Linked DNA regions of Anolis sagrei. The protein of the gene in region 3 purifies or fractionates together with the protein of the main gene of each other region. This does not show direct contact. Links are inferred from orthologs where the notes say so. Each region holds a gene or a part of one and is shown on either strand. Other genes may lie near its edges.

What was found.
Region 1: the proteins of WDR5 (region 3) and RERE purify together in Homo sapiens (affinity purification with mass spectrometry; 5 studies listed by BioGRID and IntAct, counting the BioPlex papers as one, with this or other methods). This does not show direct contact. The link is inferred for Anolis sagrei from reciprocal best matches to the Homo sapiens genes WDR5 and RERE.
Region 2: the proteins of WDR5 (region 3) and CCT7 purify together in Homo sapiens (affinity purification with mass spectrometry; 3 studies listed by BioGRID and IntAct, with this or other methods). This does not show direct contact. The link is inferred for Anolis sagrei from reciprocal best matches to the Homo sapiens genes WDR5 and CCT7.
Region 4: the proteins of WDR5 (region 3) and RUVBL1 purify together in Homo sapiens (affinity purification with mass spectrometry; 3 studies listed by BioGRID and IntAct, with this or other methods). This does not show direct contact. The link is inferred for Anolis sagrei from reciprocal best matches to the Homo sapiens genes WDR5 and RUVBL1.

What each region holds. Positions count from the first base shown.
Region 1 is NC_090033.1:2,658,276-2,665,613, forward strand, and holds the start of RERE (arginine-glutamic acid dipeptide repeats protein), read left to right. Parts: upstream 1-4,329; 5' UTR 4,330-4,811; intron 4,812-7,338. UniProt on the Homo sapiens protein: Plays a role as a transcriptional repressor during development. May play a role in the control of cell survival. Overexpression of RERE recruits BAX to the nucleus particularly to POD and triggers caspase-3 activation, leading to cell death.
Region 2 is NC_090025.1:5,459,115-5,467,108, reverse strand, and holds the start of CCT7 (T-complex protein 1 subunit eta), read right to left. Parts: upstream 3,018-7,994; 5' UTR 2,914-3,017; coding exon 2,908-2,913; intron 1-2,907. Other genes in the region: PRADC1 (protease-associated domain-containing protein 1), read left to right, coding at 5,704-5,773. UniProt on the Homo sapiens protein: Component of the chaperonin-containing T-complex (TRiC), a molecular chaperone complex that assists the folding of actin, tubulin and other proteins upon ATP hydrolysis.
Region 3 is NC_090031.1:5,426,413-5,434,376, forward strand, and holds the start of WDR5 (WD repeat-containing protein 5), read right to left. Parts: upstream 3,018-7,964; 5' UTR 2,818-3,017; intron 874-2,817; 5' UTR 794-873; coding exon 713-793; intron 1-712.
Region 4 is NC_090022.1:55,532,643-55,540,041, reverse strand, and holds the start of RUVBL1 (ruvB-like 1), read left to right. Parts: upstream 1-4,385; 5' UTR 4,386-4,479; coding exon 4,480-4,620; intron 4,621-7,399. UniProt on the Homo sapiens protein: Possesses single-stranded DNA-stimulated ATPase and ATP-dependent DNA helicase (3' to 5') activity; hexamerization is thought to be critical for ATP hydrolysis and adjacent subunits in the ring-like structure contribute to the ATPase activity.

The DNA.
Region 1 (7,338 bases), on a different chromosome or scaffold from region 3:
TCCATCCACCCATCCCTCTATCAATCCATCCATGTATTTATCTATCTATCCATCCCTCTACCCATCCATCTGTCCATCCATCTACCCATCCATCCATCCACCCACCCATCTATCCGTCCATCTAACTACCCATCCATCTACTCATCCATCCACCCACCCACCCCTCTCTCCATCCATCCACCTACCCATCCCTTCCTCTATCTATCTATCCATCCATCTATTCCATCCATCCATCCCTCTCTCCATCTATCCATCCATTCATCTATCAATCAATCCATCCATCTACCCATCCCTTCCTCTATCTATCCATCCATCTATTCCATCTATTCCTCCATCTATCCATCCCTCTATCTACTCATCCACCCACCCACCCTTCTATCCATCCATCTATCTACTCATCCATCCATCTATCAATCCATCCATCCTTCTATCCATCCATCTATCCCTCCATCCATCCATCTATCCCTCAATCCATCTACCCTCTATCTATCCATCCATGTATTTATCTATCTATCCATCTATCACATCTATCCATCCATCTACCCATCCATCTGTCCATCCATCTACCCAATCATCCATCCACCCACCCATCTATCCGTCCATCTAACTACCCATCCCTCTACTCATCCATCCACCCACCCACCCCTCTCTCCATCCATCCATCCATCTATCCATTCACCTACCCATCCCTTCCTCTATCAATCCATCTATTCCATCCATCCATCCCTCTCTCCATATATCCATCCATCCATATATCCATCCATTCATCTATCAATCAATCCATCCATCTACCCATCCCTTCCTCTATCCATCCATCCATCCATCCATCTATCCATCCCTCTATCTACCCATCCATCTACTCATCCACCCACCCACCCTTCTATCCATCCATCCTTCTATCCATCCATGTATCCACCCATCTTTCCATCCATCCATCCATCCATTCTATCTATCCATATCCATCCATCCCTGGATTTGAACCGCCAACTTTTTGATCAGCAAGTTCAGCAGCTCGGCAGTTTAACCCGCTGCACCACCACGGGTCCTACACAGTACAATACAAAAAAGTAAAAGCAATAGCACACAAAACGATTCAAAACTCAGAATAACACCCCAGAATGGTGACAACTGGCGTAAGGCCCGGCCAAATTGTAAACAAAACAAGGGAATGAAAAAGTGCAAATGGTCACTAAGGAAGAAGGGCACGGATGAAAAGGGCAGTGGTGGCCGGACCATTCATTGCGGACCATTGTGGCTAGAATGTGGTCACAAAGATAGGCAGGGCCTGAACTGTTCAGGAATTTATTTTGTCATTTGGGAGTTGTAGTTGCTGGAATTTATAGTTCACCTACAATCAAAGAGCATTCCGAACTCCGACAACGATGGAATGGAGCCAAACTTGGCACACAGAACTCCCACAACCAACAGGAAATACTGCAAGGGTTTGGTGGGCATTGACCTTGAGTTTGGGAGTTGTAGTTCACCTACATCCAGAGAGTACGGTGATGGATCTGGACCAAACTTGGTACGGATACTCAATATGCCCAAATGTGAACACTGGTGGAATTTGGGGGAAATCGACCTAGACATTTGGGAGTTGTAGTTGCTGGGATTTATAGTTCGCCTACAACCAAAGAGAATTCTGAACACCAACAATAGAATTAGGCCAAACTTCCCACACAGAACCCCCATGCCCAACAGGAAATACTGGAAGGGTTTGGTGGGCATTGACCTTGAATTTTTGAGTTGTAGTTCACCTACATCCAGAGAGTACAGTGATGGATCTGGACCAAACTTGGTACGGATACTCAATATGCCCAAATGTGAACACTGGTGGAATTTGGGGGAAATCGACCTAGACATTTGGGAGTTTTAGTTGCCGGAATTTATAGTTCAGCTACAATCAAAGAGCATTCTGAACTCCGAAAACGATAGAATTGGGCCAAACTTCCTACAATTGAACCAAAATTGGCACACAGAACTCCATGCCCAAATTTGAATACTGGGAAGGATTTGGTGGGCACTGACCTTGAATTTTGGAGTTGTAGTTCACCTACATCCAGAGAGCACCATGGACTCAAACAATGGTGGATCTGGACCAAACTTGGCATGAATACTCAATAAGCCCAAATGTGAACACTGGTGGAGTTTGGGGAAAATAGACACTGACAGTTGGGAGTTGTCGTTGCTGGGATTTATAGTTCACCTGCAATCAAAGAACATTTTGAACTCCACCAATGAAGGAATTGAACCAGTCTTGGCACACAGAACTTCCACGACCAACAGGAAATACTGGAAGGGTTTGGTGGGCGTTGTTAGCCTTGGAGTTTGAGAGTTGTAGTTCACCTACATCCAGAGAGTACAGTGATGGATCTGGACCAAACTTGGCACAGATACTCAATATGGCCAAATGTGAACACTGATGGAATTTGGGGGAAATCGATCTTGACATTTGGGAGTTGTAGTTGAGGGATTTATAGTTCACCTACAATCAAAGAGCATTCTGAACTGGCCAAGCCTCCCTCCAGCCTCGCATGCTCTCCCTTGCCCCTTGGCTGAGAAGCCAGCCAATCACAACGGAGGAAGGCTTCTTCTAGGAGGATTTCCAAAAAGGAAGAGAAGGACAGTATATATACAATATATTATATTATTAGCATAGTATAATATCAGTATTATATATTGCTATATTTTACTATACCATTATATTGTAATATTATTAGTAATATTACATGCAATATAAAATATATAATTATAATATCATAACGTCAGGCAGATCTATTTGGCTACTTATTATTTATGTGGGCCGTGGAGCTTCAGATATACCCCGAAACTATTCAGACGTACCCCAAAACGATTTACCAGCAATGATGGAAAAGAATCAGAACCAAGCAAACTTCTCTTGGAAGAGGATGGCAGGGGGTTGGACTAGATGGTCCATGTGGTCTCTTCTCATTCGATTATTTTCTGATTCTATTATTCTTATTATGGTTGGGTGGCCTTCTGTCGGGGGTGCTTTGATGGTGCTTTTCCTGCATGGCAGGGGGTTGGACTAGATGGCCCATGGGGTCTCTTCCCACTCTATTATTCTCTGATTCTCTGATTCTTATTATGGCTGGATGGCCATCGGTCGGGGGTGCTTTGATTGTGCTTTTCCTGCATGGCAGGGGGTTTGACTAGATGGCCCATGGGGTCTCTTTCCACATTATTATTATTATTATTATTATTATTATTATTATTATTGCTGGATGGCCATCTGCCAGGAGTACTTTGATTGTGCTTTTACTGCATGGCAGGGGGTTGGACTAGATGGCCCTTGTGGCCTCTTCCAATTATTATTATTATTATTATTATTATAATAAATTATTCTATGATTTTATTATTATTATTATTGCTGGGTGGCCATCTGCCAGGAGTGATTTGATGGTGCTTTTCCTGCATGGCAGGGGGTTGGACTAGATGGCCCATGGGGTCTCTTTCCACATTATTATTATTATTATTATTATTATTATTATTGCTGGATGGCCATCTGCCAGGAGTACTTTGATTGTGCTTTTACTGCATGGCAGGGGGTTGGACTAGATGGCCCTTGTGGCCACTTCCTATTATTATTATTATTATTATTATCATCATCATCATCATCATCAATTATTCTATGATTTTATTATCATTATTATTATTGCTGGGTGGCCATCTGCCAGGAGTGATTTGATGGTGCTTTTCCTGCATGGCAGGGGGTTGCACTAGATGGCCCATGTGGTCTCTTCCAACTCTTATTATTCTTATTATGCCTGGATGGCCATCTGTCAGGGGTGCTTTGATGGTGCTTTTCCTGCATGGCAGGGGGTTGGACTAGATGGCCCATGGAGTCTCTTCCAACTATTATTATTATTATCTATTATTATTATTATTATTATTATTACTGGATGGCCATCTGCCAGGAGTGCTTTGATGGTGCTCTTCCTGCATGGCAGGGGGTTGGAATAGATGGTATCACGTGGTCTCACCATGAGGTGAAAAAAAGAGCCCCGCCCCTCCCCTCCTCCTCCCCCCTCCCTCCCTCCCCCCCTCCCCCCCTCCCCCCCCCAACCGTCGCCGGCGCGAGGACGGCCCTCCTCCTGCCCCGCCCCCCTTTTCCCCGCCTTTCGCCCAATCCCGCGCCGCGTCTCATTTTAAGCCCGCCGCTTCACCTATCACTCTCTCGTTTCGTTTCGACGGCGCGGATTGGTGCTTGGGTCGGGCGCCCCGCCCATATTTACTATCAGCGCCCCGCCGCCGCACGCGCACGCCTCCAGGCCGGGTGCGGGAGCCAATCAGGAGGCGCGATACTGGCGTGTGGCGGTAGCAGCAGCAGCCCTGTCCCTGTCTGAAGGGGTGGCGGTGTGAGGGGAACAGAGAGGAGGGAAGAAAGGAAGGAAGGAAGGAAGGGAGAGGAGGAGACACAGAGAGAGAGAGAGGGAGAGGAAGGCTTCCCTTTGGGCCTAGCCGGTTCCCCTCAGCCTGCTTCCCCCTGCTCTTCCTCATTGTCCCCCTCACGTTGAAGGCCTTCCTCCTCCCCAGAACAAGAGAGGCCTTCCCTCTTTCCTCCCTCCCTCCCCACATTGAAGGCCTGAAAGCATTAGGGAACCAGGCTCCTCTTCCCTCCTTTTCCTTCCCTCTTTCTTTCCTTCCTTCCCCACACATCCTGACTCAAGACCCTTCCTCCCTCCCTCCCTCCCAATCCCTTCTTTTCTGTCCAAGCTCTTGTTTGGGATCTCCTCCTCCAGCCCACCTCCAGACAAAGCCCACTCATGGTGTGACTCCAGGGGGAGAAGGTAAGTCAGAGGGCCTTCCATTGGTGGGGCTTTTTTTGTTTGTCTACTTGTGTTGTGCCTTCAGTATTGCAATTAACAGGGAGAAAGGGGAGGAAAGACATAAAAAAGACACAAACAAGAGTGGCCTACCAAACTACACAACAGGCACCTTCTCTCACCAAATGTTTTGTGTTGTGCCTTCAGTATTGCAATTAACAGGGAGAAGGGGAGGAAAGACACCAATTATTATTATTATTATTGTTATTATTATTATTATTAGTAATAGTAGTAGTATTGCTGGATGGCCATCTGTCAGGGGTGCTTTGATGCTGCTTTATCAAATACACATGCCTAACAACAATGGCATATCAGTCTACACAACAGGCACCTTCTCTCACCAAATGTTTTGTGTTGTGCCTTCATCTTCTCTCACCAAATGTTTTGTGTTGTGCCTTCAGTATTGCAATTAACAGGGAGAAGGGGATACACATGCCTAACAGCACTGGCCTACCACACTACACAACAGGCATCTTCTCTCACCAAATGTTTTGTGTTGTTCCTTCGGTATTGCAATTAACAGGGAGAAGGGGAGGAAAGACATACACATACCTAACAACAATGGCCTATCAGTCTACACAACAAATAGGAAAGACATATGCATGCCTAACAGCAATAGTCTATCAGTCTACACAACAGCAATGGCCTATCAAACTATACAACACGCATCTTCTCTCACAAAATGTTTTGTGTTGTTTCTTCGGTATTGCAATTAACAGGGAAAAGGGGAGGAAAGACACCAATAGGAAAGACACACACATGCCAAACAACAATGGCCTATCAGTCTACACAACAAATAGGAAAGACATACACATGCCTAACAACAGTGGCCTATCAAACTACACAATAAATAGGAAAGACATACACATGCCTAACAGCAATGGCCTATCCAACTACACAACAGGCACCTTCTCTCACAAAATGTTTTGTGTTGTTTCTTCAATATTGCAATTAACAGGGAGAAGGGGAGGAAAGACACCAATTATTATTGTTATTATTATTATGAATTATTCTATTATTATTGTTATTATTATTATTAGTAGTAGTAGTAGTATTGCTGGATGGCCATCTGTCAGGGGTGCTTTGATAGTGCTTTATCAAATACACATGCCTAACAACAATGGCCTATCAGACTATACAACAGGCACCTTCTCTCACAAAATGTTTTGTGTTGTTTCTTCGGTATTGCAATTAACAGGGAGAAGGGGAGGAAAGACACCAATTATTATTATTATTATTATTATTATGAACAACAAACTACACAACAAATAGGAATTATTATTATTATTATTATGCCTAACAACATGCCTAACAACAAGAGCCTTTCAAACCACACAACAGGCACCATCTCTCACAAAATGTTTTGTGTTGTTTCTTCAGTATTGCAATTAACAGGGAGAAGGGGAGGAAAGACACCAATTATTATTATAAATTATTCTATTATTCCATTATTATAATAAAATTATTATTATTATTGCTGGATGGCCATCTACCAGGAGTGCTTTGATTGTGCTTATCCTGCATGGCAGGGGGTTGGACTAGATGGCCCATGTGGTATCTTCCAACTATTATTATTATTATTATTATTATGCCTAACAACAATGGCCTTTCAAACAACACAACAGGCACCTTCTCTCACCAAATGTTTTGTGTTGTTTCTTCAGTATTGCAATTAACAGGGAGAAGGGGAGGAAAGACACCAATTATTATTATAAATTATTCTATTATTCCATTATTATAATAAAATTATTATTATTATTGCTGGATGGCCATCTGCCAGGAGTGCTTTGATTGTGCTTATCCTGCATGGCCGAGGGCTGGACTAGATGGCCCATGTGGTCCCTTCCAACTATTATTATTATTATTATTATTATTAGTAGTAGTAGTAGTAGTAGTAGTATTGCTGGATCGCCATCTGTCAGGGGTGCTTTGATGGTGCTTTATCAAATACACATGCCTAACAACAATGGCCCATCAATCTACACAACAGGCACTTTCTCTCACAAAATGTTTTGTGTTGTTTCTTCAGTATTGCAATTAACAGGGAGAAGGGAAGGAAAGACATACACATGCCTAACAACAGTGGCCCATCAATCTACACAACAGGCACTTTCTCTCACAAAATGTTTTGTGTTGTTTCTTCAGTATTGCAATTAATAGGGAGAAGGGGAGGAAAGACACAAATAGGAAAGACATACACATGCCTAACAACAATGGCCAATCAAACTACACAATAGGCACCTTCTCTCACAAAATGTTTTGTGTTGTTTCTTCAGTATTGCAATTAATAGGGAGAAGGGGAGGAAAGACACAAATAGGAAAGACATACATATGCCTAACAACACTGGCCTATCAAACTACACAACAGGCACCTTCTCTCACAAAATGCTTTGTGTTGTTTCTTCAGTATTGCAATTGACAGGAGGGAATGACACCATGAGATGTGAAATATGTCATTGATAGTTGCTGATGATGGCTTGTTTTATTGTTG
Region 2 (7,994 bases), on a different chromosome or scaffold from region 3:
TAGATGTCCTTGTTTATTTCCTCTCTGTTGTTGTGCTGTTCTAATTTTAGAGTTTTTCCTAGTTCCAACAGACCTCACTACCTCTAAGGATGCTTGCCATAGATGCAGGCGAAACGTCAGGAGAAATGCCTCTAGAACATGGCCATATAGCCTGAAAAAAACTACAACCCAGTGATTCCGGCCATGAAAGCCTTCGACAATACAATAATATTGTAATATGTTAATACTACTATATGAAATATAATTACTACTGATAATATATAATGATATACTGCTTTATTATTGTGTATTTGTATAACTGAAGGTTGCCAGTTCAAAGCCGTGGGTCGACATGAGCTACTGACTGTCAAGCCCAGCTTACTGTTGACCTAAGCAGTTCGAAAACAGACATAGCAAAATTAGGTAACGCTAAGGATCGGAAAATGCTGGGCAACTAAAAGGAAGGAAGAAGTCCTGATGGCTCTTCATCATAGAGAATGGAGTGACAGAGCTGGATTCGAGCACAACTTCTTAGGCACCAAAAAAGCTAAATGTTGAGTCGAAACAACACACCTCCTTCTGTTCTGTCTTTGTATTGTCTATACAAAAGGACATTGAATGTTTATAGTGTATATGTACTGTGATCCGCTCTGAGTCCCCTTGGGGAGATAGGGTGCAATATAAATGAAGTGTTGTTGTTGTTATTATTATTATTATTGAGCTATATTGCGTGAAATTGTGTTATATGAGTCTACACCAGGTATGGACAAACTTGGGCCCTCCAGGTGTTTTGGACTCCAACTCCCACCATTCCCAACAGCCTCAGGACCCTTGTAAATATTAAAACACATTGTATTGTCGAAGGCTTTCATGGCCGGAATCACTGGGTTGTTGTAGGTTTTTTTGGGCTGTATGGCCATGGTCTAGAGGCATTCTCTCCTGACGTTTTGTCTGCATCTATGGCAAGCATCCTCAGATGTAGTGAGGTCTGTTGGAAGTAGGAAAATGGGTTTATATATCTGTGGAATGACCAGGGTGGGACAAAGGACTTTTGTCTGCTTGAGCTAGGTGTGAATGTTTCAACTGACCACCGTGATTAGCATTTGATGGCTTGGCAGTGCCTGGGGGAATCTTTCTTTGAGAGGTGATTTGATGTGCCTGATTGTTTACTCTCTGTTGTTTTGCTGTTGTAATTTTTGAGTTTTTTAATACTGGTCGCCATTAGGTTCTTGTAGGTTTTTTCGGGCTATAGGGCCATGTTCTAGAGGCATTTCTCCTGACGCTTCGCCTGCATCTATGGCAAGCATCCTCAGAGGTAGTGAGGTCTGTTGGAAATAGGAAAATGGGTTTATATATCTGTAGAATGACCAGGGTGGGACAAAGGCCTCTTGTCTGCTGGAGCTAGGTGTGAATGTTTCAGCTGACCACCTTCATTAGCATTTGAAGGCCTGGCAGAGCCTGGGAAAATGTTCTGTTCAGAGGTGTTAAGATGTGCCTGGTTGTTTCCTCTCTGCTGTTTTGCTGTAGTAATTTTAGAGTTTTTTAATACTGGTAGCCAGATTTTGTTCATTTTCATGGTCTCCTCCTTTCTGTTGAAATTGTCCACATGCTTGTGGATTTCAATGGCATGCATGTGGACAATTTCAACAGAAAGGAGGACACCATGAGAGGAAACAACCAGGCACATAACACCTCTCAAAAGAACATTTTCCCAGGCTCAGTCAGGCCTTCAAATGCTAATGAAGGTGGTCAGCTGAAACATTCACACCTAGCTTCAGCAGAGAGCTCTTTCCCCCACCCCAGTCATTCCACAGATATATAAACCCATTTTCCTATTTCCAACAGACCTCACTACCTCTGAGGATGCTTGCCATAGATGCAGGCGAAACGTCAGGAGAGAATGCCTCTAGAACATGGCCCTATAGACCGAAAAAACCTACAAGAACCTAGTGATTCCAGCCATGAAAGCCTTCAACAATACAGAGAGTAAACAATCAGGCATATCAAATCACCTCTCAAAGAAAGATTCCCCCAGGCACTGCCAGGCCATCAAATGCTAATCAAGGTGGTCAGTTGAAACATTCACACCTAGTTCCAGTAGACAAGAGTCCTTTGTCCCATCCTGGTCTTTCCACAGATATATAAACCCTTTTTCCTAGTTCCAACAGACCTCACTACCTCTGAGGATGCTTGCCACAGATGCAGGCGAAACGTCAGGAGAAAATGCCTCTAGAACATGGCCCTATAGCCCGAAAAAACCCACAAGAACACCTCCTCCTGTTCTGTCCTTGTATTGTCTATACAAAAGGGCATTGAATGCTTGCCGTGTATATGTACTGTGATCCGCCCTGAGTCCCCTTGGGGAGATAGGGCGGAATATAAATTAAGTGTTGTTGTTGTTATTGAGCTAAATTGCGTGAAATTGTGTTATATGAGTCTATACCAGGTATGGACAAACTTGGGCCCTCCAGGTGTTTTGGACCCCAACTCCCACCATTCCTAACAGCCTCAGGACCTTTGTAAATATTAAAACACATTCATACATTTGTAAGGGAAAGGCAAGGCGAGAACAAACTACAACTCCCATGATGCCCCGCGCCAGCCGCTCCCTTCATTGAAGAGGCGAGGTTCCCCAACTACTTAGTGGGAATGGGAGTCTGATTAGAGACCCCAGCTTTCGCCTAATGCGCATGCGCGCCCCTTCTCCTGTTACACCCGCTACAACGAGGCTCCAAGCGGCCTCCATTTTTGCCCCGGCTCAGCCCCCGAACTCCTCCGGCCCCGCTGCCAATATGGCCCCGTTCTCACGGGGGAGACTCTTCCGGAGAAGGCAAGACCCTTCCCGGTGATAACGGGCCTGACTCTGAGGCGGATGGCGGCGGATAACCCCCGCTTGCCATGCCCGTCCTCTTCCCCTCAGTCACTCACCATCATCTTGGCGGCCGCCCTGTTGCTAACGGTTTCCCTGCCCACAATGCACCGCGCGCACCCAGAAGCTTCGCCGGCGCTTGAGTGGGCGGAGCCAAGGGGAAGAGGAGGGGCTTGAAGGTGCAAAGGCAGAGAATGCTATATAGAGGTACTAAGGTTAAAGATACTCAGTACCACACAGTTTGGCAGCACACTTCCGAGTTCGCATTGCTATATAGAGCTAGTAAAACGGATGCTCAGTGCCTCGCAGTTTGGCAGCACACTTCCGAGTTCGCAGGGCTTTTATATTATTATTTTTTGCTTTGTTTACAGAAAAAAAATCATTTATTATTATTATTATTATTATTATTATTGAAAAACTGGGAACTCTTGGCTATCTTTCTGCAGAGAAAAAAGAATAATATGATAATTTCAGAATGTTTTTATATTTATTTGTCTGTTTGTTTACAGAAAAAAATCAATTATTATTATTATTATTGAAAAACTGGGAACTCTTGGCTGTCTTTCTGCCGGAAAAAAAAAAGAAGAATATGATAATTTCAGAATGGTATAGCATGCTGTCATGGCAGTTAAAGGCCAGTGGAAGGCCTTGGGAAAACTGCAACTCCCAGGATTTCAAAGCCTTGAGCCAGAGCAATCCAAGTGGTGTCAAGCTGCATTCATTCTGCAAGGCAGGTCCACCCTCCAATTTCATTTATTACATTGATTTACTTAATGAACTAATTAATCGGTGGCTATGGTTTCCAGGTGGAAGACGGTCCCAGTTGGGGTTGGCTTGATGTGCCTTCCTCTTGGCACGTTTCTCTCACCCTCCATTCATGCCTCTTCAAATTCTGCAGTACTGCTGGTCACAGCTGACCTCCATCTGGAGCACTCAAGGGCCAGAGCTTCCCAGTTCTCAGTGTCTATGCCAGAGTGTTTAAGGTTGGTTTTGAGCCCATCTTTCAATCTCTTTTCCTGCCCACCAACATTCCGTTTTCTGTTCTTGAGTTCGGAATAGAGCAACTGCTTTGGGAGACGGTGGTCGGGCATCCAGACAACATGGCCAGTCCAGCAGAGTTGATGGCAGAGGACGATCACTTCAATGCTGGTGGTCTTTGCTTCTTCCAGCACACTGACGTTTGTCCGCTTGTCTTCCCAAGAGATTTGCAGGATTTTCCAGAGGCAGCGCTGATGGAATCATTCCAGGAGTTGCATGTGACGTCTGTAGACAGTCCACGTTTTGCAGGCATAGAGCAGGGTTGGGAGGACAATAGCTTTATAAACAAGCACCTTGGTATCCCTACGGATGTCCCAGTCCTCAAACACTCTCTGCTTCATTTGGAAAAATGCTGCAATTGCAGAGTTCAGGCAGTGTTGAATTTCAGCGTCAATGTTGACTTTGGTGGAGAGGTGGCTGCCAAGGGAGCGGAAATGGTCAACATTTTCTAATGTTACACCATTAAGCTGTATCTCTGGCATTGGAGAGGGATTGGCTGGTGACTGCTGGAACAGCACTTTGGTTTTCTTGATGTTGAATGACAGGCCGAGCTTCTCGTATGCTTCTGCGAAGGTGTTTAGAGTGGCTTGTAGGTCTTCTTCTGAATGCGCACAGACGACGTCATGCAGTGTAGATGTACTGCAATAACTAAAGCAGTACATCAAGCAAGCAATTGATTGATGTACAGTGCATTCTACTGTGTGGATGCACTGGAATAACAAAAGTTCGACTGCATTCATTCTACAGTGCAAATACACTGCAATGACTAAACTCCATTCTTCCTATAGTGTAGATGTACTGCAATAACTAAAGGTAACCTGCATTCATTCTACCGTGTGGATGCACTGCAATAACTGAATCATAGAAGCATAGAATCAAAGAGTTGGAAGAGACCTCATGGGCCATCCAGTCCAACCCCATTCTGCCAAGAAGCAGGAACATTGCATTCAAATCACCCCTGACAGATGGCCATCCAGCCTCTGTTTAAAAGCTTCCAAAGAAGGAGCCTCCACCACACTCCGGGGCAGAGTTCCACTGCTGAACGGCTCTCACAGTCAGGAAGTTCTTCCTCATGTTCCAATGGAATCTCCTCTCTTGTAGTTTGAAGCGTCCTAGTCTCCAAGGAAGCAGAAAACAAGCGTGCTCCCTCCTCCCTGTGGCTTCCTCTCACATATTTATACATGGCTATCATATCCCCTTCTCTTCTTCAGGCTAAACATGCCCAGCTCCTTAAGCCGCTCCTCATAGGGCTTGTTCTCCAGACCTTTTATCATTTTAGTCGCTCTCCTCTGGACACATTCCAGTTTGTCAATATCTCTGAAGTCAAACTGCATTCATTTTACAGTGTAGTCAGGCATGGCCAAACTTTGGCGCTCCAGGTGTTTTGGATTTCAGCTCCCACAATTCTTCACAGCCAATAGAATGTTAGGAATTGTGGGAGCTGAAGTCCAAAACACCTGGAGGGCCAGAGTTTCCCCATGCAGATGTATTGCAATAACTAAACTTAACCTACATTCAGTCTCCAGTGCAGATGCACCCTGAATAGTTCCAGAGTCTTGAATCAAGTGGCAGAAAAAGGGATGTGCAAGCTTTTTGGAAATGCCTTGCCCATTTCCTCTTTCCATCCTATCAGAAGCCACCTGGTAGCCGAAAACCCAGTGATGACGGATGCGAGACCCTGCCCAATGGCATCACCAGGAGATCCCTGTTGTCCAATGAGAGCCAGCCGGGAGAGAAGGCTTTCCCCGCCTCCTGTCACTGAAGATTTGGATGCCAGGCTTGCAACAGAGCCAGGGGCTGGAGGAAGGACCTGAGCCATGGTGGCCCTTTGGCCTGGAGGGCCCCTCTGGGGACACCTCCTCTTTTGCTTTTCCTCCTTGGCGCACGGTAAGGAACCCACGGCTTGCTTGATTTCCCTCCCTTGCAATTGCACCCTGCTTTTAGGCTGAGAACAGAGTTATAAGAGACCTCAAAAGGCCATCCAGTCTGGTCCCTTTCTGCCAGAGAGGAAGGCACCATCCAAACCCTCCTGGCAGATGTCCACCCAGCCCTCCAGAGAAGGAGGCTCCACCAGACTGTAATGCAGCCGCATATTCCACTGCCAAAGAAGGTCTGACCATCAGAAAGTTCTTCCTAATGTTTCAGCGAGATCTCTTTTAAACCCATAACTCCATTGTGCATTAGTTTCTGGAGCAACAGAAAACAAGCCGTTATTTAAGCCTGGCTGTCCTACTGCATTGGGATGAACAAAAGAACAGTCATGTTGGAGCCGACAAAAGGTCTTTCGAACCCAACACTCATTTCCTACAGTTGCCAAATAGCAACTGCTTCCCCTTTGGGTTGCTTTTCGTTTTTCGTGCTGTCTGGTCATCTCCCAGAAGCATTCTCTCCTGGCGTTTTACCCACATCTATGGCAGGCATCCACAGAATCATAGAATCATAGAGTTGGAAGAGAACTTGTGGGCCATTATCCAGTCCAACCCCATTCTGCCAAGAAGCAGGAATATTGCATTCAAAGCACCCCTGACAGATGGCCATCCAGCCTCTGCTTAAAAGCTTTCAAAGAAGGAGCCTCCACCAGACTCCGGGGCAGAGAGTTCCACTGCTGAACAGCTCTCAGTCAGGAAGTTCTTCCTCATGTTCAGATGGAATCTCCTTTCTTGTAGTGTGAAGCCATTCTTCCGTGTCCCAGTCTCCAGGGAAGCAGAAAACAAGCTTCCTCCCTCCCCCCTGTGGTTTCCTCTCACATATTTATACATGACCCTCATCATGTCTCCTCTCAGCCTTCTCTTCTTCAAGCTAAACATGCCCAACTCTTTAAGCCGCTCCTCATAGGGCTTGTTCTCCAGACCCTTGATCATTTGAGTCGCCCTCCTCTGGACACATTCCAATATCTCTCTTCAATTGTGGGTGCACAGAATTGGACACAATATTCCAGGTGTGGTCTAACGAAAGCGGAATAGAGCATGGGGAGCATGCCTTCCCTAGATCTAGACACTAGGCTCCTCTTGATGCAGGCCAAAATCCCATTGGCTTTTTTTTTTTTTGCCACCACATCACATTGTTGGCTCATGTTTAACTTGTTGTCCACGAGGACTCCAAGATCTTTTTCACACGTACTGCTCTCAAGCCAGTCATTGTCCCCCATTCTGTATCTTTGCATTTTGTTTTTTTCTGCCTAAGTGGAGTCTCTTGCATTTGTCCCTGTTGAACTTCATTTTGTTGGTTTTGGCCATTCATCTCTCCAATCTGTCAAGATCGTTTTGAATAGTTTTGAATCCTGCTCCTGTCCTCTGGAGTATTGGCTCTCCCTCCCAATTTGGTCTCGTCTGCAAACTTGATGATCCTGCTTTTTCATCCGTCATCTAAGTCATTTATAAAGATCCTGATCAGGACCGGGCCCAGGACAGAACCCTGCAGATGGCCCTCCACTCGTCACTTCTTTCCAGGATGAAGAGGAAGCCCTGGGGAGAATCAGCCTCTGGGTTCGTCCATTTACCCAATTACAGATCCGCCTCACCGTAGTTTTGCCTAGCCCACATTGGACTAGTTTCCTTGCCAGAAGGTCATGGGGGACCTTGTCAAAGGCCTTCCTGAAATCCAGGTACGCTCCATCCACGGCATTCCCCGCATCTACCCAGCTTGTAACTCTATCGAAAAAAGAGATCAGATGAGTCTGGCATGACTTGTTTTTGAAAAATCCATGTTGACTATTAGCAATGACCGCATTTGTTTCTAGGTGTTTGCAGACCACTTCCTTAACAATCTTTGCCAGAATCTTGCCTGGTATCGATGTGAGGCTGACCGGAAGGTCATTTTTTTCCTTCTTGAAGATTGGGACCACATTGGCCCTCCTCCAATCTGCTAGGATTTCTCCCGAGGTTGTGAGATCTGTTGGAAATTAAGCAAGTGAGGTTTATATATCTGTGAAATGTCCAGAGTGGGAGAAAGGATTCTTGTCTGCTTGAAGTACATGTGAATGTTCCAATTTGTCTCCTTGAATGGCCTGCAGCTTGAAGTCCTGGCTGGTAGCTGCCTGGGGGAATCGTTTGTTGGGAGGTGTTAGCTGGCCCTGATTTATTATTGTCTGGGAAAGTTACCCTTTCAG
Region 3 (7,964 bases):
TCACTGGGTAGTTGTAGGTTTTTGCGGGCTATATGGCCATGTTCTAGAGGCATTTTCTCCTGACGTTTCACCTGCATCTATGGCAAGCATCCTCAGAGGTAGTGAGGTCTGTTGGAACTAGGAAAATGGGTTTATATATCTGTGGAATGACCAGGGTGGGACAAAGGACTTTTGTCTGCTGGAGCTAGGTGTGAATGCTTCAACTGACCACCTTGATTAGCATTTATTGGCTTGGAAGTGCCTGGGAAGTGCATGTTTTGTTGAGAGGTGATTTGATGTGCCTGATTGTTTACTTTCTGTTGTTTTGTTGTTGTAATTTTAGAGTTTTTTAATACTGGTAGCCAGATTTTGTTCATTTTCATGGTTCCCTCCTTTCTGTTGAAATTGTCCACATGCTTGTGGATTTCAATGGCTTCTCTGTGTAGTCTGACATGGTGGTTGTGAGAGTGGTCCAGCATTTCTGTGTTCTCAAATAATATGCTGTGTCCAGGTTCCAACTTGCATACAAATTCATCTTAAGAGCAAACTACCGAGCCTATCTTGTACGTAACTTTGGGACTGCCTGTACAACTTATGAACCCTTCCCTGAGCAATGTTCACCCAACTCCTTAAATGACACTGGGATTTCCAGGGCTAGGAAGAATCCAACATACTAAGCAGCCTCCGAACCTTTTGAGCATTTGAGTTTGGGAGGCAGATGCCTCCGTCGTACCTTGGTTTGGTTGGTCGAAGAGGAAGGCGTGGATTGCGTTTTGGTCGACTCTGCATCGGGTTTCTTCTCTTCCGTGGCCATAGCTCTGGAAAGAAGCCAGCCAGCTTTCAGGCTCTTCCGAGGACAAAAGAGCACGACGGCTTAGAAGTAAAAGCAGTCTCCTGGAGAAACGGACAGAAAAAGAAACCAACCAATTGTTTTCATACGGTAAATGCTTTAACATTGTTTTTCCAAAACTGACTTGGGTGGCAATTCAAACAGTGCCAAATTGAATGAATTCCACAATATAGATGCACCCTAGAGACCTTATAAAGCTACAACTCCCAGAATCCCATAGCACTGTGCCACAGCAGTTAAACTGATGCCAAACCGCATTAATTCTGCAATGTAGGTACACCCTATAAAACTTATACAGCTTATACAACTTATACATTGATTCCACAATGTAGATGAACCCTAGAGACCTTATAATGCCACAACTCCCACGATGCTATAGCAATGCCCCATGATAGCTCAAGTGGTACCCAAACGGCATTAATTCCACCATCTAGATGCACCTTAGAGACTTTATAAAAGGACAACTGCCTCACTGCAATTAAAGTGTGCCAAACTGCATTAATTTCTCAATATAGATGCACTCTAGAGACCTTATAAAGCTGTAACTCCCATGATGCCATAGCACTGTATCACTGCAATTAAAGTGGTGCCAAACTGCATTAATTTCTCAATATAGATGCACTCCAGAGACCTTATAAAGTTGTAACTCCCATGATACCATAGCACTGTGTCACTGCAATTAAAGTGGAGCTAAACTGTATTAATTCCACAATGTAGATGCATTCTAGAGACCTGATAAAACTACAACTCCCTCGATGACATAGAACTGAGCCATGGCAGGTCAAGTAGTGCCAAACTGCATTAATTCCACAATGAAGATGCATTCTAGAGACCTGATAATGCTACAACTCCCAGGATGCCATAGAACTGAGCCATGGCAGTTCAAGTGGGACCAAACTGCATTAATTCCACAATGTAGATGCATTCTAGAGACCTGATAAAGCTACAACTCCCAGGATGCCATAGAACTAAGCCTTGGCACTTCAAGTGGAGCCAAACTGCATTAATTCCACAATGTAGATGCACCTTAGAGCCCTTATAAAGCTACAACTCCCAAAATGCCATAGAACTGACCATGGCAGTTCAAGTGGGGCAAAACTGCATTAATTTCTCAATATGGATGCACTCCAGAGGCCTTATAAAGCTATAACTCCCATGATACCATAGCACTGCACTACTGCAATTAAACTGGTGCCAAACTGCATTAAATCCACAATGTAGATGCATTCTAGAGACCTGATAAAGCTACAACTCCCTCGATGACATAGTACTGAGACATGGCACTTCAAGTGGAGCCAAACTGCATTAATTCCACAAAGTAGATGCATTCCAGAGACCTGATAAAGCTACAACTCCCAGGATGCCATAGTACTGATCCATGGCAGTTCAAGTAGGGCCAAACTGCATTAATTCCACAATGTAGATGCATTCTAGAGACCTGATAAAACTACAACTCCCTCAATGCCATAGAACTGAGCCATGGCAGTTCAAGTGCTACCAAACTGCATTAAATCCACAATGTAGATGCATTCTAGAGCCCTTATAAAGCTACAACTCCCAAGATGCCATAGAACTGAGCCATGGCAATTAAAGTGGGGCCAAACTGCATTAATTCCACAATGTAGATGCATTCTAGAGACCTGATATTGCTACAACTCCCAGGATGCCATAGAACTGAACCATGGCAGTTCAAGTGCTGCAAAACTGCATTGATCCCACTTTAGCTCAGGCTTCTCCTCTCAAAGCACGTGTGCACGGCCACACACGTGTACACACTGGCCACACACGCATAATCCTTGCATATCTCAGCAATGGAAGACTTTCAGTTCGCCAGACACACAAAAACCCATGAAAGCATCCCTAAATCTGTATCTATAGAACTGGAAGCTCTTCGGGGCAGAGAAGGGAGGGGGAGGGGGGCAAAAAGGACCCCATGACGTCATCGCCACTGAGGCCTAGTCGTTGGGCCTGCGCCTTTCCCGCCTTACTCGATTCGCCCCTGACGACGGAAGGGAGGATGTCTTCCTCTTCCTTCTCCTTCGCCTCCTCCGTCCTTTTTCTCTCAGCGGCGGCCCCGTTTTCCTTTTTCTGGCCGCCGGGCGGGAGGAAGGCCTCTCGCGCAGGCGCAGTGAGGAAGGACGCAGCCGCTCCTCAGGCCGGCCGCAGCGAGAATCCGCCCCGCGCAGGCGCAGAAGGATAGCTTCCCTACGACTACGGTGGCCCCCGAGGGATAAAAAGAGCCTTCAAATCTTAATAGGCAACGCGAGCGACATCTTTTCGCTTAGCCTCCCTTGGCGCACGCGCAGGAGGGGGCCTCCCTCGGCTACGGCGGCCCGCGAAGGATAAAAAGATCTCAAAACAATACTTAAGAGACTTGAGCGCGCGCAAAACGCCTTAAAGGGACAGGGGCGAATTCTTTGGCCTGCTTGGAATGAACGTTCTGAAAGCATTTTTAGGGGATTTTCAGTAAATTTCGAAGAATAGGCCGAACTGATCTGTATCCATGACTTAAATATATCTCTATATGATTTTGGCATTTTGTATGAAGAAGTATTAAATATATATATATATGTGTGTGTGTGTGTGTGTGTGTGTGTGTAGATACACACATATATATATTACTAATTGTATAATATACTGTTAATGTATTATATATGTAATGGGATAATATTATTATACAATACAATAAATATATATAATAATTGTATATTATATAGAACATCTAATATTATTAATAATATAGCAATATAGTGGTCTAGTACAATATAATAATATCAAACACTAATATTGTGCTTATTTATTTATTTATCGTGTCATCAGCAAGCATACAATTGTATTACATTTCTAACAGAACACAACAAACCAACAGAAAAAAGAAAACAAATTTTGCAAACTTGGTAGTTGATTAAATGTCCTTTGGCCAGTATCTGGCCACTTGGAGTGCCTCTGGTGTTGCCGTAAGGAGGTCCTCCATTGTGCATGTGGTAGGGCTCAGGTTGCATTGCAGCAGGTGGTCAGTGGTTTGCTCTTCTCCACACTCGCATGTCGTGGATTCCACTTTGTGGCCCCATTTCTTGAGGTTGGCTCTGCATCTCGTGGTGAGCGCAGTTTGTGCAGAGCCTTCCAAGTCGCCCAGTTTTCTGTGTGCCCAGGGGGGAGTCTCTCATTTGGTATCAGCCATTGGTTGAGGTTCTGGGTTTGAGCCTGCCACTTTTGGACTCTTGCTTGCTGAGGTATTCCAGCAAGTGTCTCTGTAGATCTAAGAAAACTATTTCTTGATTTAAGTAGTTGCTGGCTTTTCTTATGTCAGTAGAAAAAGGAAAAACAAGGAGGCGATAGGGCCTCTTTGAGGAGAAGATGGGGCAATGCTGACAGGGGATAGGGAAAAGGCAGAACTACTTAATACCTTCTTTGCCTCGGTCTTCTCACAAAAAGAAAGTCATTTTCAATCTCCGTAAGATGGAGTGGATGAGGGATTAGAGAGATTCCCAAATTGGGAAACAAGTCGTCCAGGAATACCTGGCCGCTCTAAATGAGTTCAAGTCCCCTTTCAGGGCCAGATCAACTACACCCAAGAGTACTGAAGGAACTAACGGAAGTCATTTCGGAACCATTGGCAACCATCTTTGAGAGTTCTTGGAGAACGGGAGAAGTTCCAGCAGATTGGAGGAGGGCCAATGTGGTCCCAATCTTCAAGAAGGGAAAAAAGGAGGACCCAAACAATGACCAATGTCCGGTCAGCCTCACATCGATACCAGGCAAGATTCTGGGAAAGATTGTTAAGGAAGTGGTCTGCAAACACTTAAAAACAAATGCGGTCATTGCTAATAGTCAACATGGATTGATCAAGAACAAGTCATGCCAGACTCATCTGATGTCTTTTTTTGATAGAGTTACAAGCTGGATAGATGCAGGGAATGCCGTGGATGGAGCGTACCTGGATTTCAGTAAGGCCTTCGACAAGGTCCCCCATGACCTTCTGGCAAGGAAACTAGCCCAATGTGGGCGAGGCAAAACTATGGTGAGGTGGATCTGGAATTGGTTAAATGGACGAACCAAGAGGGGGGTTCTGGTTAAATGGACAAATCCAGAGGGTGATTCTCCCCAAGGGTTCCTCTTCATCCTGGAAAGAAGTGACGAGCGGAGTGCCGCAGGGTTCCGTCCTGGGCCCGGTCCTGTTCAACATCTTTATTAATGACTTAGATCAAGGGCTAGAAGGCATGATCATCAAGTTTGCAGACGACACCAAATTGGGAGGGAGAGCCAATACTCCAGAGGACAGGAGCAGGATTCAAAACAATCTTGACAGATTAGAGAGATGGGCCAAAACTAACAAAATGAAGTTCAACAGTGACAAATGCTAGATACTCCACTTTGGAAGGAAAAACGAAATGCAAAGAGACAGAATGGGCGAGAATGCCTGGCTCGAGAGCAGTACGTGTGAAAAGGATCTTGGAGTCCTCGTGGACAGGAAGTTAAGCATGAGCCAAAGATGTGATGTGGCGGTGAAAAAAGCCAATGGGATTTTGGCCTGTATCAATAGGAGCCTAGTGTCTAGATCTAGGGAAGTAATGCTACCCCTCTATTCTGCTTTGGTTAGACCACACCTGGAATATTGTGTCCAATTCTGGGCACCACAATTCAAGAGAGATATTGACAAGCTGGAAAGTGTCGAGAGGAGGGTGACTAAAATTATCAAGGGTCTGGAGAACAAGCCCTATGAAGAGTGGCTTAAGGAGCTGGGCATGTTTAGCCTGGAGAAGGCTAAGAGGAGATAGGATAGCCATGTGAGAGGAAGCCACAGGGAGGAGGGAGCAAGCTTGTTTTCTGCTTCCCTGGAGACTAGGACGCGAAACAATGGCTTCAAACTACAAGAGAGGAGATTCCATCTGAACATGAGGAAGAACCTCCTGACTGTGAGAGCCGTTCAGCAGTGGAACTCTCTGCCCCGGAGTGTGGTGGAGACTCCTTCTTTGGAAGCTTTTAAACAGAGGCTGGATGGCCATCTGTCAGGGGTGATTTGAATGCAATATTCCTGCTTCTTGGCAGAATGGGGTTGGACTGGATGGCCCAGGAGGTCTCTTCCAACTCTATGAATATAGTGGTCTAGTACAATATAATAATATAGAACACTAATATTGTGCTATGCTAATAATATATATATATTATAATGTAATATAATAGTAATAATAATAATAATAACACTTTATTTGTACCCCGCTACCATCTCCCCAAGGGGCTCGGTGCAGCTTACATGAGGCCAAGCCCACAGTACATCAATACAAGCAATAACAACAGTACAAGCAATTAAAATAAAACATAGACAAATAAAATATACAACATTATCAATAAGACAACACATAATTAAAAACAGTGGGAAGGCCAAATGTAAATTAAAATTGGAAGTAATGCTGGGACATGGACGAGAAGGTGATAGTGGCATTTATGGAAGGGCATATGAGCAGACCTTAAAAATGTAAAGTGCTTTGGAGGACAAGGTGCTATGGAATCAATTATTCCGGGAAGGCACACTGGAACAACCACGTCTTCAAGCTCCTCCTGAAGACTGCCAGGGTTGGGGCCTGTCTGATGTCTTTAGGGAGAGAATTCCAGAGTCGAGGAGTCACCACCAAAAAGGCCCTCTCTCTCGTCCCCACCAACCGCGCCTGCGATGCTGGTGGGATCGAGAGCAGGGCCTCCCCGGATGATCAAAGGGATCGTGTGGGTTCGAATACAGAGGTGCGGTCACGCAAGTAGGCGGGTCCCAAACCGTTCAGGGCTTTGTAGGTAAGAACCTGCACCTTGAATTGGGACCGGAAAATGAATGGCAGCCAATGGAGCTCCTTGAACAGGAGGGATGACCGCTCCCTCTAAGGAGCCCCAGTTAGCAACTTGGCCGCCGCCCGTTTGACCATCTGGAATTTCCGAGCCGTTTTCAAGGGCAGCCCCACGTAGAGTGCATTGCAGTAATCCAGTCTAGAGGTGACTAAAGCATGGACCACTTTGGCCAGATCCGCCTTCCCGAGGTACGGTCACAGTTGGCGCACGAGTCTTAATTGTGCAAAGGCCCTCCCGGCCACCACCGACGCCTGAGCCTCAAACGTAAGTGAAGACTCCAGGAGGACCCCCAAGCTGCGGACCTGTGACTTCAGGGGGAGTGCAACCCCGTCCAGCACAGGTTGCCACCCTATATCCCGGACTGGTTTACGATCGACCAGGAGGACCTCTGTCTTGTCGGGATTGATCTTCAGCTTGTTCCTCCTCATCCAGACAGCCACAGCGGTCAGGCACTCGTCTAGCACTTGAGGGGCTTCCTTGGAGTTAGGTGGAAAAGAGTAGTAGAGTTGAGCGTCATCTGCGTAGAGATGGCACCCAGCTCCAAAACTCCGGATGACGTCTCCCAGCAGTTTCATCAGGATGTTGAAAAGCATGGGGGACAGAATGGAACCTTGTGGGACCCCACAGGTCAAAGGCCAGGGGTCCGAGCAGGCGTCACCCAGCTTCACCACCTGGGATCGACCCTCCAGGACAAAGCCGTACCTCTAAGGCCCATCCCGGAGAGTCGTCCCAGAAGGATACCATGATCGATGGTATCAAAAGCCGCTGGGATGTCCAAGAGAACCAACAGGGTCTAAATGTTATGTATTGATGGAGCAAGCATGCTCTTCTGTTTTCACCATGTGCTACTCTATAATAATAATAATAATTGCGTTGTTGTAGGTTTTTTCGGGCTATATGGCCATGGTCTAGAGGCATTCTCTCCTGACGTTTTGCCTACATCTGTGGCAAACATGAAAATGAACAAAATCTGGCTACCAGTATTTAAAAACTCTAAAATTATAACAGCACAACAACAGAGAGGAAACAAACAAGGACATCTAATCACCTCTCAACAAAAGTTTGCTCCAGGCACTGCTAGGCCATCAGATGCTAATCAAAGTGGTCAGTTGAAACATTCACACCTAGCTCCAGCAGGCAAGAGTCCTTTGTCCCACCCTGGTCATTCCACAGATATATAAACCCTTTTTCCTAGTTCCAACAGACCTCACTACCTCTGAGGATGCTTGCCATAGATGCAGGCGAAACGTCAGGAGAGAATGCCTCTAGAACATGGCCATATAGCCCGAAAAAACCT
Region 4 (7,399 bases), on a different chromosome or scaffold from region 3:
GGGGAAATAATTTATGCTGGGGAAAGTGGAAGGCAAAAGTGGAAGGCAAAAGGAAGAGGGGCCGACCAAGGGCAAGATGGATGGATGGCATCCTTGAAGTGACTGGACTGACCTTGAGGGAGCTGGGGGTGGTAACGGCCGACAGGGAGCTCTGGCGTGGGCTGGTCCATGAGGTCACGAAGAGTCGGAGACGACTGAACGAGTGAACAACAACAACAAGTTTATAATTGTTACTGTATATATATATATTTAAAGAAATGTAAGCACCTTACAGCCCACAAGGGCTCCTTGGACTGTTATCAAGCCATGGTAACCCCCTCCCCACCCCAATGCTTTATAGTTCACCAAGGACCAATATATGATTTTTCCTTCTTTATTAAAAAAGGTCGTTTCCAGAGGTCCAGAATAGCACAAGTTCAGGACTTCAGAAGATTGAGAACAGATCCAGCAGCAGCCGTACTCCTATTAAATATATCATATCTAACCCTTTAATAAATTGTATTTATTTTATTATTGTTGTGTAACTTGTATCTTTTAGCCATATACTGTATCTCTTTCCTGTATAAAATGTATAAATTACCTTGTAGAAATGTATCAAAATGCAGCCCGGAGACAGACACCCTCTGAGATAATCCCCTGAGAATAGGAAGGTTGGGCAAATCCCTCTGGCTATTTCCCAAGCCAGATAATCATCAGGCTCATTATGTACAGAAAGGTGATTTCCCCTGCCAGCAACATAAGCCAGATGTTGGTGTAATTCACCTGAGGTTGAGAGCCTGGTGCTCCGTCATGGGAACAGGAGCTTAAAGTGTGAACTTTCATTAACTCCATTGTTGACAGCCAAGCCCTTGCTTGCCTAGGACTGGCACCTTTGTCCTCCGAGTCTCACACCTTTATTTCTGGAGCTCCATATCTTCGTTTAACATGGAACTGAACAATTGAGCTACTCAAAAATTCATTAACATATAATTGGTATTATCTTCTCCAAGATCGCTCCCTCTGCAGCTGATTGGTTCTTCACTCTGACCAATCTCCGGCTGCCATCCTCCCCGACAAGCAAATCCCTGCCTGGAAGCTGTGATGTCAGCAGAGCTTTCGATCAATCCCAGCAGGGAAAAGAGCCATCCTCTTTTCTGGCCAATTAGAGGAGGTGGCGGGAGGTTTGAATGGCTGTCAGAATTGTATAAGATGTCTTACATTCCCCGCATGTTTATGCTTGTACATTTTAAAGCAAATTACTTGTACCTGCATCCCTTCTGGCTGAATTGTAATAAATCTCTGTGGCTTATCTTCAACCTGATGAGTTGTTTTCTCTGTCCTGGCTTTTTTGGTTTAGCATACCCTCATCGGGCACAAATCCTCCTATCTGTGGTCCTGGCTAAATCACTTCAAGACAATGAACAAATGAAAACAATGAACAAAACAAGATGATTTACATGCAATGTATTCAGGATATATTCATAGTGTACTTTTCAATTTGATGGGTGGAGTTTTTATGTCTTAATTTATAACTTTTAATATAGAAACAGATCAACAAGGCCATGTCTACTAGAAGTATGGCACAAGATTGTTGTACTGCTTGCAGCATTGAGTCTCGTGAACTAGTTTTTCTGATCAGCTATGTCAGTGGGCAGCTTGGTCTGAATAACCTCAGTCCTTTGTTATGGGAAACAACCATCCACTTCCATGGAGAAGGCCTAAAGCAACATACAGGTTCAACATCCATTATCTGAAAATCTGAAATACAATACTCCAAAATTAAAAAATTGTTCACATGGATGTGAGAAACTGACATCTTTGCTTTCTAATAGTTCAATGTGCATACACTTTTGTTTGATTCACAAAATTATTAGATATTATGTACCAAGAGGCTATGTGTACAGTGTATATATAATCAATTTTATATTTTGATTGGTTCCCACCTCCAAGACATATCATGATGTGTGTGTGTGCGTGCGCGTGTGTGTTCCATTATAAATATGAATCCAAAATACTTTTGGTCATAAGGATTTTGGATAAGGGATACCCAATTTGTATTGGCTGCTCCAGAAATATGCAGCATCACATGGGATGTGCTGTTTATAGGATCCAGCTATGCTGACATTTTTTATTATTTGCTAACTTGTCAACTATATCTAGTCACTGAATTTTAACACCAGATGAATAATAATAATAATAATAATAATAATAATAATGAATTTTATTTATATCCCACCCCTCCCCACAAGGACTCGGGGCGGCTCACAACGGAATCAAGTCACAATACATACATAAGCAGAAACTAAAAAGACAAGACACAATATATAACCAATACTCATAAACATAATGAGAAGACAGGAAAGCTTGGAGAAGATGATGCTGGGGGAAAAGGAAGGAAAAAGGAAGAGGGGCCAACCAAGGACAAGATGGATGGATGGTATCCTTGAAGTGACTGGTTTGACCTTGAAGGAGCTGGGGGTGATGATGGGCTGTCAGGGAGCTCTGGTGTGGGCTGGTCCATGAGGTCATAAAGAGTCAGAAGCGACTGAATGAATAAACAACAACCTCATAAATGAAAATTTTTAAAACAATATCACAAGAAATACACAGTTAAAAAATTGTATTGGGTTTAAAAATGTATTGCACTGCGGAGGCAAAAACTAGTTAAAACCAATAGGTATTGACAAGCCTGAAGACGAGAAGGCTGAAAGGAGACCATGTGTAAGTATGTGAGGGGAAGTCTTAGGGAGGAGGGAGCAAGCTTGTTTTCCGCTGCCCTGGAGACTAGGACGCAGAACAATGGTTTCAAATGACAGGAAAGGCAATTCCACCTGAACATGAGGAAGAACTTTCTGACTGTGAGAGCTATTCAGCATGGTTTGGTAACTGCACAGTGGCAGACACGAAGGCACTCTAAAGGATCACCACTTCTGCACAGAGAATCATTAATTGCTCTTTCCCCTGTTTGGAAGACCTTTATAAGTCCTGTTGCTTTAAGAAAGTTCAGAACATTCTTGGGGATCCATTTCACCTGTCATTTTTTTTTTAATTATTGCCATCTTGCAGATGGTACAGGGTGACAAAGACAAGGAGAAGCAGACTGAGAGATAGCTTTTTTCCTAGAGCTGTGGCTATGTTGAACTCAATAGTTTCACACTGATGTGGCATTGGGGGCAGTGTGGTGGTGGTTGGGGTGTGGAGGGATTGGTGTATTGTTTTGTGGTGTATGATGGGGAAGGCTTCAAACTACAGGGAAAGATATTCCACCTAAACATTAGGAAGAACTTCCAGAGAGCTGTTCAGCAGTGGAACTCTCTGCCCCAGAGTGTGTTGGAGGCTTTTATGCAGAGGCTGGATGGCCATCTGTCTAGGTTGATTTGAATGTGATTTTCCTGCTTCTTGACAGAAAGGGGTTGAACTGGATGGCCCACGAGCATTTTTTGGCTCTAAGCTTGGTAAAAGTTGTTCATTTGTTCAGTCATTTCCGACTCTTCGTGACTTCATGGACCAGCCCACGCCAGAGCTCCCTGTCGGTCGTCACCACTCCCAGTTCCTTCAAGGTCAATCCAGTCACTTCAAGGATTGCATCCATCCATCTTGCCCTTGGTCGGCCCCTCTTCCTTTTTCCTTCCATTTTCCCCAGCATAATTGTCTTCTCTAAGCTTTCCTTTCTTCCCATGATGTGGTCAAAGTACTTCATCTTGGCCTCTACTATCCTTCCCTGCAATGAGAAATCGGGCTTTATTTCCTGAAGTATGGACTGGTTGGATCTTCTCGCTGTCCAAGGCACTCTCAGAACTTTCCTCCAACACCACAGCTCAAAAGCATCGATCTTCCTTTGCTCAGCATTCCTTGTGACCCAGCTCTCATATCCATAGTTGACTATGGGGAATACCATTGCTTTAACTATGCGGATCTTCGTTGCCAGTGTGATGTCTCTACTCCTCACTATTTTATCAAGATTAGTCATTGCTCTCCTCCCAAGAAGTAAGTGTCTCCTGATTTTCTGTCTGCAGTCTGCGTCTGCAGTCATCTTTGCACCTAGAAATACAAAGTCTGTCACGGCCTCCACGTTTTCTCCTTCTATTTCCCAGTTGTCAATCATTCTTGTTACCATAATCTTGGTTTTTTGATGCAACCCAGCTTTTGCCCTTTCTTCTTTCACCTTGATTAGAAGATAAAAGTACAACGCCCTAATTCTTGTGCTGAGCCACCCTCAAAAGGCCCAATGCTAAATGATCTCCTCGCGCGGTACCTTCCTCCCTCAGTGCCAGGGTGACACCGGAGATCTTTCTACGCCGCACCAAGTCAACTTCTGTAGGCGGGGCTTGAACTGAGTGACAGCGGTCTCGTCCAATGGCCAGGGAGAATCCTCTGCCAGCAGCCAATGATTCGGAGGGGGCGGGGATACGGAACTCGAGCGCCGGGAGCCTTGGTAACGCGCGGCACATTTGCTTGTGAGCAGCGCGTGGGGCGGAGGCGAAGAGAGAGGCGTCGAGGATGAAGATCGAGGAGGTGAAGAGCACCTCGAAGACGCAGCGCATCGCCGCCCACAGCCATGTCAAGGGCCTGGGCCTGGACGAGGGCGGCGCGGCCAAGGCAGCGGCGGCGGGGCTGGTCGGGCAGGAGAACGCCAGGGAGGTGAGAAGGCCTCAGGCCAAGAGGGAGGCCCCTTTGAAGGGACTGAACAGGCCTGGGCCAACTTGGGCCCTCCAGGAGTTTTGGACTTCAATTCCCACCATTCCTCACAGCCTCAGGCCCTTTCCTTTTCCCCCTCAGCCGCTTAAGCTGAGGAATGGTGGGAATTGAAGTCCAAAACTCCTGGAGGGCCCAAGTTGGCCCAGGCCTGGTCCAGACCCACAAATTCAAGACTCCTCATAACCTGAGTGAAGGAAGATGCTTTTGAACTGTAGTGTTGGAGAAAAATTATTGGACTGGAAGAAGATCGAATCAGTCCATACTCCAGGAAATAATGCCTGACTGCTTACTGAAAGGAAGAATATTACAGGCAAAATTGAAGTACTTTGGCTACGTAATGAGAGGACAGGAAAGCTTGGAGAAGATAATGATGCTGGGGAAAAAGGAAAAGAGGTCAACCATGGGCAAGATGGATGGATGGCATCCATCTGGGCCAGAGTGAAGAGATAGGGGGCCAGGGGACAGTTCCACCTTGTCTCCTGTGCTATTCTAATAATATAACATAATGTAATATAATATATTGTATATACGTATAATATTTATAATGTTATAATGTAATGCAATCTAGTACTATTTTTTTTTGTCGTGTCAGGAGCGACTTGAGAAACTGCAAGTTGCTTCTGGTGTGAGAGAATTGGCCGTCTGCAAGGAAGTTGCCCAGGGAATGCCCAGATGAATTGATGTTTTTATCATCCTTGTGGGAGGCTTCTCTCATGCCCCCGCATGAGGAGCTGGAGGTGATAGAGGGAGCTCATCCGCCTCTCCCCGGATTCAAACCTATGACCTATCGATCTTCAGTCCTGCCAGCACAGGGGCTTAACCCACTGCGCCACCGGGGGCTCCTTATAATACTAATAATAATATGATATTATAATTATATATTTATATTACATGTAATATTACTATTACAATATAGTGGTATAGTACAATATAGTAATATTTAATACTGATATTGTACTTTGCTAATAATATAATATATCGTATGTATATATATACACCTTGTAAGCCGCTCTGAGTCCTCTTCAGGGTGAGAAGGGTGGCATATAAATGTCGTAAATAAATAAATCCTTGAAGTAACTGGTTTGACCTTGAAGGACTTGGGGGTTGCCACAGCCGACAGGAAGCTCTGGTGTGGGCTGGTCCATGAGCTCATGAAGAGTTGGAAATGACTGAACGAATAAACAACAACAACAAAATCAGCCACTGATTGAGGTTCCAGATTTTTACCTGCCACTTTTGGATTCTCACTTGCCGAAGTGTTCCTACGCCCATGATGGCGAACCTATGACACGTGTGTCAGCACAGACACGCATAGCCATTTTCGATGATATGCGGCAGCATACAGAGAAGACATTTAATCCTCGGCTCCTACACCAGCATTTTTCTATGATGCCGAGATATATGGCATTATAGAAAAAGCAGGTAACTTAAATAATTAGTTTTTGGTTTATTAAATACAGTTATATATTACAATAATATATTTTTGTTATTAAACTATAAATATCATGAAATTATGGGTTATTCTCGAAGTGACACCCCACTCGAGTTATGCTCGGTTTTTTGGCGAGTATTGACACACCAAACTCGAAAGGTTGCCCATCACTGTCCTACGCATATCTCTGTAGGTCTTAGGAGGCTATTTCTTTATTTAAGATATTGGCATGCTGGCTGGTATCTGTACAGAGGATGGGCCGAAGATGTCAATGCCTTGGTCCTTTCATTACTGGTTGCTACTTCCTGAAGGTTATCAGGTGGTACAATACTGGCTAAACAGTACAATGTTTCCAGTAGTAAAGGGCGTAGACATCTTGTGATAATGTGGGTGGTAATACATCCAGGCATTCCCTGGGCAACGTCTTTACAGATGGCTGATTCTCTCACACCAGAAGTGATTTGCAGTATACAATAAATCAAGTAACTTGTGTAGTTACATACTCATATCCCATTCTAGGCACATTTTCATATATGTATGCTCCATATAACAAGTCTAGCTTCTTATAGAAGTTTTAACTTATTTCACTGTTGAATATCCCTGTGGGCAGAAAAATTGGGCTATTCCAACTCGATAGCCCCCTACGAGGATCTTCCTCCAGGGGCAAACCAAGAATGGGCAACTTGGAAGTCCCTGAAGAGACTCAGAAGTGGTGTTGAGAGATCAAAAGACAATCTGGCAAAATGGCAGTACCTAGAACAATCCTCTACCTTTTGCTGTTGTGGAGCAGAACAAACAACTCCGCATCTGTATGCTTGCCCACAATGCCCTGCCACATGCACAGAGGAAGAACTGTTTAAAGCTACAGACAATACAGTTGCTGTTGCCTGTTTTTGGTCTAAATTTTTAGCTGCTTGTGTTCCCTTTATTTTATCAGTTTTATACTCATTTATGCAATGCTTTTGACACAAAATAAATAAACTTATTTCACCATTGTGGCTCAGTTGTATACATTATATTAGTTAAGCATTGCTATAACCACCTAGCCAGAGAGGAGTTATGCCAGTTAACCAGCATTGCAGAGTGTTGCAAATAGCCTTAGAAGCCGGGATAAATTGTCTATTTCTATAGACAGTTTTTCAACTGGAGAGGTATACGTTTTTATTACTTTCGCTGTTATTTGCTTATATTGAGTAAGGAGTTGTGCATTATTGTATATTTGGGAAATAATAAAAGCTGGTTTATATAATAATAATTATCAAATTTATAATGGAATTACTAATCATGATC